Linked DNA regions of Callithrix jacchus. The protein of the gene in region 2 purifies or fractionates together with the protein of the main gene of each other region. This does not show direct contact. Links are inferred from orthologs where the notes say so. Each region holds a gene or a part of one and is shown on either strand. Other genes may lie near its edges.

Region 1 (3,905 bases), on a different chromosome or scaffold from region 2:
GGCAGGGGTGGGAGCCCTCCTCTTCTCTCTGGGAAGATGGGATGTGTCAAGAGCTATCACAACTCTGCCACAGGTTCTTGGGATAGCCCCTTATTACCCCTACTTGTACTAGAGGACTCACCTTCATTGGCTGGTGTTGGTGGTGGGGGTAGTTGGTGTCTGTCTGTGGATAGACAGATGGATTGGGAGTGAAAACCATGAGAGGAGACTTTTCTAGTTTCCCATACTTACACTCACTTCTGCCCAATTTCCTTTCCTCCCCTGCAGCCTCCTCACCTCCACTTTGCCTCTGATTCCTTTTTTGTATCTTCTCCTGCACCAGGGCCTGGAAGGCCTGGGCCTCGCCCTCGTCTGCAAAGTTCAGCCCCGCTTGGCAGTCCTGCACATACCTTGGGGTCAGCCACCTCCCAGGTCCCCCGCAGCTTTCCCATCTCCTCTCCAAAACCCAAGTGAGGCTCAAGGGCTGGTTGGTCACTTACATCTCCAGTGAAGGTGTGGAAGAAGGGGGTGGGGGTGGAGTAGACAAGCTGTGAGTACAGCTCCTGTTCCCAGAGAAGCCGACCAGCCTGGAGAGGTGTAGGGTGGGAGACACAGTGGCACTGAGGCAAGCCGGGGGTGGCAGGCCTTTGTTAGCTGGGCAGGGAGCAGGGTGTCTGGATTTGGGGGTCTCATAGTCTGGTTTGGAGATTTTTAGCTCAGTACCAGAGAGCTGGGGAATCTAACAGTGTGGATGTGGGGAGTTGGGGTACAATCTAGGAGTCAGACACTTTTGTGAGAGGTTTGGATTTGGGGTTCAGGGCCCTAGATGTGGGACTCGGGAGCTTGAATTTCATAATTTAGGACTCTAGTCTTAGGAAGTTGAGACTCATTCAGAGACTCAATCTGTGCCCTTCCCTGCCACCCCAGCCCCAATTAATGACAGGTAGGATTCTGGTATTTGGGAGTTAGAGTTGAGATTTGAAGTTCAAACACATAGATTTGGGAGTTTTGTGGGGAGTCCAGCTAAAGTAAGTGCAATTTGGGGTTTGTGGAGAAGAGTCATGGCTTAGGAGTTTGGTCAAGCTTTGACAGGCTTGGGATCTTGAAGTTATGCTGAGTCCATCTTTATGGGTTTAGAAGGATGAATTTGGGGCTTAAACCTAGAAAGTTCAGGTTGGGGGATTGTGAAAAAGACTTTTTTCTTAAGAACTACCTTGTGTCCCTGACCTGGGTAGAGTGGCATCTGGTTGGTAGTGCCCATCTCATATCAGCCAGGGACAAAGCAACCCCTTGTTCATCCCAGCTTGGCTCTTGATCTGTGCCTATGCCTGGTTCATGCCTTGGACACATAGGTTAAAAAAAAAAAACTACCTTGGTATTTGAGTGTTCAGGAATTTTAATATGGGAACTCTGGGGTCTGTGCTGTGGATTTAAAAGGACAGATGTGGAGTTCAAGGATCAATGGAATATTCAAGTTTGGGGTTTGGGGAACTGATTTATGACTTAGGAGCTTGGCAAACATCTGGGGTTCAAGAGTTTTGATGAAGGATTCCTGGGATGCAAAATGTTGAGTTTAGAATAGATTCAGGTATAAATACAGTGCTCATTTCTTGGAATTTGTAGAAAAGATTAGGCTTAGGCAGTATACTAATAATTGGGGGGCTTTAGAGATTTTGATATGGAGGCTGAGGCCAGTCATTGTAGACTTAGAAAGGCAAGCTACAGTTTGCCATCTGGCTGAGTCTTTGGTTCTGGGGCTCAGGGATTCATTAATCAGGTCTGAGGTCTTGGGGCGATGGACACAGATGGACACAGATTTGACAGATCTGGGTTTGTGAGTTGAGAACTGGCTTGCAAGTCCAGTAGGGGGGTGGGAGTCACCTGAAGGCCATAAAGGCGGATGAAGTAGGACTTCTTGGGGTTATCCTTCACGAAGCACACAGCCCCACAATGCTCCTTGGTCCAGTGCTCAGCTCCAGGGGGCAGCGCCAGGTACAGCTGAACAACTGCGGTGGCCAGCGTCTGGGAGGGGAAAGCAGGGGTCAGTGGAGTCTGGTCAGGTGTAGCCACAGGGTCTTGGAGCCAGACCTGGTCCTTCCTGCCTCATGACAGTCGTGGGCCTGAAGGAAGAACTGCATGCAGCCAGAGGGAAAGCAAGTAGACATTGGGTTCTTCCTGGGAAGGGTGGACGATGACAGGAGATTCTAGGAGAGAAGATGATGGAGAGGGAAAGGAGGAGCGGGAGGAGGGGAAGAAAGAGAAGGCGGAGAGGAAGAGGAGGAAACAGTGAGGACGGGGCGGGGGCAGGAGATCCCCAGCTCACCAAGCATTTTCGTCCAAGCATCTCAAAGAGTCGCTGGTTCTCGTGGTCCTGGAGGAGGGTGGACGGTATGTTCTGCTGAACCACTGGTGCTCCTCGGCCCCCGGGCCTTCCTCCCATTGGGCCCCCACTCATGGTGCTTTCTGTCCTTGTCTTCTCCAGTGAGGCTCTGGGTGCAGGGTAAGAAGAGGAACTTCCGCAGTGAGCAGCAAGGGAACAGGAAGTGCAAAAACCCACAAGGGACAAGTGAAACAAGTACTCCAGGGGCCCCTTGGTGGGCCTGGCCTCCTCCTCATTAGGCCAAGCTTGGGCCCTCTGCCATCAGATTGGAACCCTCTTCCACTTAACTGCTTAGACCCATCTTTTGGATCAGCTTGGGTCCTCCTCCTCCGTCTTTCTTACTCTCTGGGGCCTATCTCCTCTGACTGGCTCAGACCCTCCTCCCTCTGGCAGGCAGTGAGAGCTTAGCCATCAGCAGCACATCTGTGTGCAGGGCTCCCTGTGGCAAAGAGTAGCCATGGGCCTGGGTGGCCTCCTTTGTAAGGCACCCAGGTAGCCTGAGACTAAGGCTCTAGGTCCCTAGTGCTGAAGGGTTACTACAGTAACATTTTTCCTTTTGGCCAGGCGCGGTGGCTCACGCCTGTAATCCCAACACTTTGGGAGGCCGAGGCGAGCAGATCACTTGAAGTCAGGAGTTAAAGACCATCCTGGGCAATATGGTGAAACCCCATCTCTACTAAAAAATACAAAAATTAGGCCAGGCACAGTGGCTCACGCCTGTAATCCCAGCACTTTGGGAGGCTGAGATGGGTGGATCACCTGAGGTCAGGAGTTCAAGACCAGCCTGGCCAACATGGTGACACCCCATCTCTAAAAAATGAAAGAAAAAGAAAAAAAATTACCAAAATTATCCAGGCATGATGGCACACACTTATAGTCCTAGCTACTCAGGAGGCTGAGGCAGGAGAATCACTTGAACCTGGGAGGCAGAGGTTGCAGTGAGCTGAGATCGAACCACTGCATGCCATTCTGGATGATGACAGAGCAAGACTCTGTCTCAAAAACAAACAAAAAAACCCTTTCCTTTTAATTACAGAGCGAGCCCTTGTGATCCACCCCTATCCTGAGTACCCAGACACTGCCAATTACGCATATGCCTCTGGTTCACTCCCCCATCCCTTACCTTGCCTCTCCACAGCTCCCAAATTACTTTCTGCTTGTCATCCCTTTTTTAAAGAAAGGAACTTTAGGGCCAGGCACGGTGGCTCAAGCCTGTAATACCAGCACTTTGGGAGGCCAAGGCAGGTGGATCACGAGGTCAAGAGATCGAGACCATCCCGGTCAACATGGTGAAACCCCGTCTCTACTAAAAATACAAAAAAATTAGCTGGGCATGGTGGCGGGTGCCTGTAATCCCAGCTACTCAGGAGGCTGAGGCAGGAGAATTGCCTGAACCCAGGAGGCGGAGGTTGCGGTGAGCCGAGATCGCACCATTGCACGCCAGACTGGGTAACAAGAGCGAAACTCAGTCTCAAAAAAAAAAAAAAAAAGAAAGGAAATTTATATCATATATGATATACCTGAACAACATCTTGTTTAGTTTTCT
Region 2 (3,905 bases):
TACAGGCGTGAGCCGCCACGCCCAGCCTAAAACCAGTCATTTCTAAACAGTGTGCTGCCAGGCTGCAGCGTTTAATGACAGTGCCTTGGGCTGGGGTGGGGACAGGCATGGACAAGGGCCGAGGTTCCTGGGCTGTACCTAACATAAGCCCTGCAGTCAGAGTAGTGTGCCTTTTCTGTTTTACAGATTGGTCTGCGAATAGAGCTTCAAAACACTGTTCTTGCCGCCTTGTCTGATCTTCTTACCCCTCTGGGAGCTAAGAGGATTTCTTCTTTACCCTGAAGCCAAAAGATTCAGTGATAGGTAGAGAGAGGGATCCTGCAACCACACAGGCTCTGGAGCCCACCTGCCAGGGGTTTAATTCCAGCTGTGTGACCTTGTGCCAGTCTCTGATTGTCTCTGTGCCTCAGTTTCCTCATCTGAATGGAAGAGATAACAGTAGCATCTGTTTTGAGGATTGAATGGGTGACTATGCAGACATCTTGAGAACAGCGCCTGGCACATCCTTCATGCTCAGCAAATGTTAGTTGTTGTGTGCACTGGGATGGGCTGAGCACCAGGAGGTGTTTGCATCCAGAGCCCTGGGCCAGGTGGTGCCTACAATGACCTTTCAGGGTGTCCGCCCAGACTCAGTGTGAGAGGTTCCCACTGGCTACTTCTCACCCCTTCCTGCTGTGGCCTTCCCTAGGGAAACTGTCGGCCTGCCCCAGACCCAGGGAGCCAGCCACAGAGGAGGGCAAGCAGTTGGAAGCCAGGAAGCCCAGAGGTGTGATGAGCGCAGAGTGTAGGCAGGATGCCGCCCAGGAAGCTCCACAGGGGCTGGTTACTTGCTTCTGTGCTGTCGCCACACCCTGCTCCATTATATGCCACCCCTATCTGTGCCAGACCCTGCCATTGAGCCTGCTCCTTGTCCAGCTCTGCCCTAGGGAAGGCAGGCCCAGGGGCTCTGGGCCTGGACAGAGGACTCAGTGTTAAAATAGTCAGGGGGTCCTGGACTGCCTAGGGCTACAGAGTGGCCTGGGTTTCCACCTACCCCTTCCCCCAACTTTGCACACCAAGGCAGGGCAGCGATGTGGTGACCTCACCTCCCTCCCGCCAGGGCTGCGGCTGCCAGCTTGGGCCGTGGGCATCCTGGTGCCTGGTCCTCCGGATGGGCTGAGGCAGCTCTGCTTCCATTGGCTTCTCTGGGCTGGCCCACCCTCTCTTTAGAGATGGGGAAGCCAAAGCCCAGAAAGGCACAAGGCGCCCTCCCCACGGGGAGTCCTTTGCCTACTGTGCAGTCAGTGGAGAGGAAGCAGAACGCTCACACGCTGGCCACAGGCCCCAAGTGGAACTGGCCGGAAGGGAAGGAAGGCCTGGCTCTGCAGCTCTCATCCTCCTGGCCGCAGCCCCAGGAAAGGGCCCGGGGAGGGCCAGGTTGTTGGCCGGGGCTCAGCAGGCTAAGCCGAGGGCCAGAGGGTCCTCGTCAGGGTTGGCAGCAGCACCCCAGGACACCCATATTCCCCAGCTCCAAGAGGTCTCAGCTTTTCCCCAGAGCCCTGGGCACAGACAGAGCTGAGGGGCAGAGGGGTGGTTGAAGGACAGCTGGAAAATTGCTGAGATGATCTGGGACTCCAAGCTGGGCTTCAGGCTACGCCGCCTGGGCCAAGCCACTTCACCTCTACCACAGGCTGGGCGCCCTTATTTCATGGGGAAATGACTAGATGTAAGCCCGTGTTGAATTTAAGAAAGTAAGCAAGCAATTCCCGCCTGGGTGCCTCCTGGAAGGACCCCTAAGGTCTGCAAGGGACAAGGGGCTGGATGAGGGGACAAGAATTACCATTTGGAGTGAGGCAAGGTGCTGGGGGGCTTTAGCGTGTCCAATTGGTCCCCTTGCTTGATCCAATGCTTTAGTTGATGTGTTGATATCTATCCCCATTATATAGATGGAGAGACTGAGGCTCAGAAAAAGAAATGTCTCACCCAGCCCTTAAGTAACAGAGCCAAGACCTGAACCCAAGTTTCTCTGGTCCCTAAATCTGCATCCCCTCCTTTGCTACCCCACACATGCTCTTCAAACCCGCACCCAAGTGTTAGCCTCTCCTAAGGGGCTCCTGCTGTGGGGAGAGGTCTTTCAGAGGAGAAAACAGCTGGGGCAGCAGAGAGGAGGCCCCTCACTCACGGAGTCCGTTTGCCTTCCAACCCAGAGAGGGTGGGGGCCCCGGGCCGCCTCCGCAACGATTAAGACCAAGAATCAACCACTATTTGATGAGAAAGCTGCCCTCTTGGAGCCGCATTCCGTGGCCCCACGGAGATTTCAGCCTCGCTCTGCCCGCTCCACTTGTCCAGTGCCCCCAGCCATCCTCACTTACCCAAAAGGCATCTTTGAACTGCAGCTGGGGCATCATTCTCAGGCGTCTGCCACGGCAAAGCTCGCTCTCCTGCCACAGGCTGGCCTGATGGAGGGCCGTACGCCAGGAGCACCGTCCCAGTCCTGGCAGGGCTGGCCCAGGCCCCCCTTCCCGGCCGGCGCCGTCTGCAGCACTCAGAAGGCAGCCACGAGCCAGGAGGAGCTGCCGAGGGGAGGAAAAAGGCTCAACCTGTTTTGTTTGGGGCTAGAATCGGCAGCAAAATGAGGAAGGAGCGGAGCTCAGTGATGGGAGGGCGGATCCTGGTGTCCAGCCCAGCCCCTCGCCGACCCTGCGGAGATGGAGGACACAGTCTGGGACCCAGGGCAGGGAGCAGGGATGCCAGCCCCGGGGGGGAGGCAGTGGCCAGTGGAAGAGGCAGGCTGGAGCACAGGCCAGGCGGGCAGGCAGCCCGACCTACGCAGTAAGGTTTGTGCAACCTCCCCCGGGGGCAGGCACGGGCCGTCGCCCACAGGAAGTGGAGCTGTGGCTCTCCCCTGTGCAGCCCCGCCTGCCACCTGCCACCCTACTCCTGCCTCTTCCTGCCCCCTTCCGAGGCGCGGGCTCATTTTATTCCAGAGGCCATGCGCTAAGGGAGCTTGAGGCCCACTGACAGTGTGGCCAGGAGGGGCCCAGGAGCCCCAGGTGTGTCACCCTCCAGCCCAGCACTCCTCCAGGCTGGGCCCAGAGACACTAGACTCCACCCCTCACCCCTAAGCCATTCCGGAGGGGCTCACCCAGGCCTAGGACGTTCCTCAGAACCTGGCTGCTCCGGTGGGACCAGGTCCTGCCCTCAAGGAGCTCACGGTCTGGAGGCAGACACAGCTGTGCTCTGGGGGCTGTGAACACACAGAGACGAGGTGAGAGACAGCATATGAGGGAGAACAGCCTCAAGCCCAGCACTGCCCCGCCCCCCACTGCCACCACCGCACGACTCCAGATTAGATGCCCTTTGGAGCAGAGAGCCCTCCTCTGAAGATGGAGTCTTCAGGCTCAGTGAATGGGAAGGGATGGAGAGAGAAACAGGATTATCAAGGCACAGAATGTGGGGTGTTTGGAGACCCAGGCTGAGACCTAGTTTTTGTTTAGTTTTGACCCTACCCTTCAGGGGCTGAGGGACCTTAAAAGACCCTCCAACTCACGGAGCCTCAGTTTCCCCATCTGCCACCCCCAGTCTTTGGAAAGGAGACGGTGTCAAGAACATTTCTGGAATCTCCAGTTTGGCGGGCAGTTGCTGGGGGCACTGTGTGTGCTGGACCACCTTAGGAGGAGCCCTGGGCCAGATCCCAGCCGAGCCCTGAGTCCTGAGGCGCCAGGCCTTGCCTGCTCAGCAGAAGGCCCCGGGTGAGTCAGGGATTGTCCACAAATTACCACTCTCACTGATGTCTGCCTTACAGCTGACGGGGTGATAAGACAGATGAGAGCGGCTGCAGATGAAATAGCTGAGCTCACAAGTGCCCATTATGCACGCCCAGGGTTTAGAGAGGGGGGCACACCCAGGCTCTGAAATAGCCACCC

The links.
Region 1: the proteins of PSTPIP1 (region 2) and WAS purify together in Homo sapiens (affinity purification with western blotting; 3 studies listed by BioGRID and IntAct, with this or other methods). This does not show direct contact. The link is inferred for Callithrix jacchus from reciprocal best matches to the Homo sapiens genes PSTPIP1 and WAS.

The regions. Positions count from the first base shown.
Region 1 is NC_133524.1:49,251,076-49,254,980, reverse strand, and holds the start of WAS (actin nucleation-promoting factor WAS), read right to left. Parts: upstream 2,482-3,905; 5' UTR 2,435-2,481; coding exon 2,303-2,434; intron 2,002-2,302; coding exon 1,861-2,001; intron 1,332-1,860; exon of another isoform or gene 1,197-1,331; intron 567-1,196; coding exon 480-566; intron 380-479; coding exon 277-379; intron 164-276; coding exon 122-163; intron 29-121; coding exon 1-28. UniProt on the Homo sapiens protein: Effector protein for Rho-type GTPases that regulates actin filament reorganization via its interaction with the Arp2/3 complex. Important for efficient actin polymerization. Possible regulator of lymphocyte and platelet function.
Region 2 is NC_133509.1:24,007,632-24,011,536, forward strand, and holds the start of PSTPIP1 (proline-serine-threonine phosphatase-interacting protein 1), read right to left. Parts: upstream 2,821-3,905; 5' UTR 2,388-2,820; coding exon 2,352-2,387; intron 1-2,351. UniProt on the Homo sapiens protein: Involved in regulation of the actin cytoskeleton. May regulate WAS actin-bundling activity. Bridges the interaction between ABL1 and PTPN18 leading to ABL1 dephosphorylation.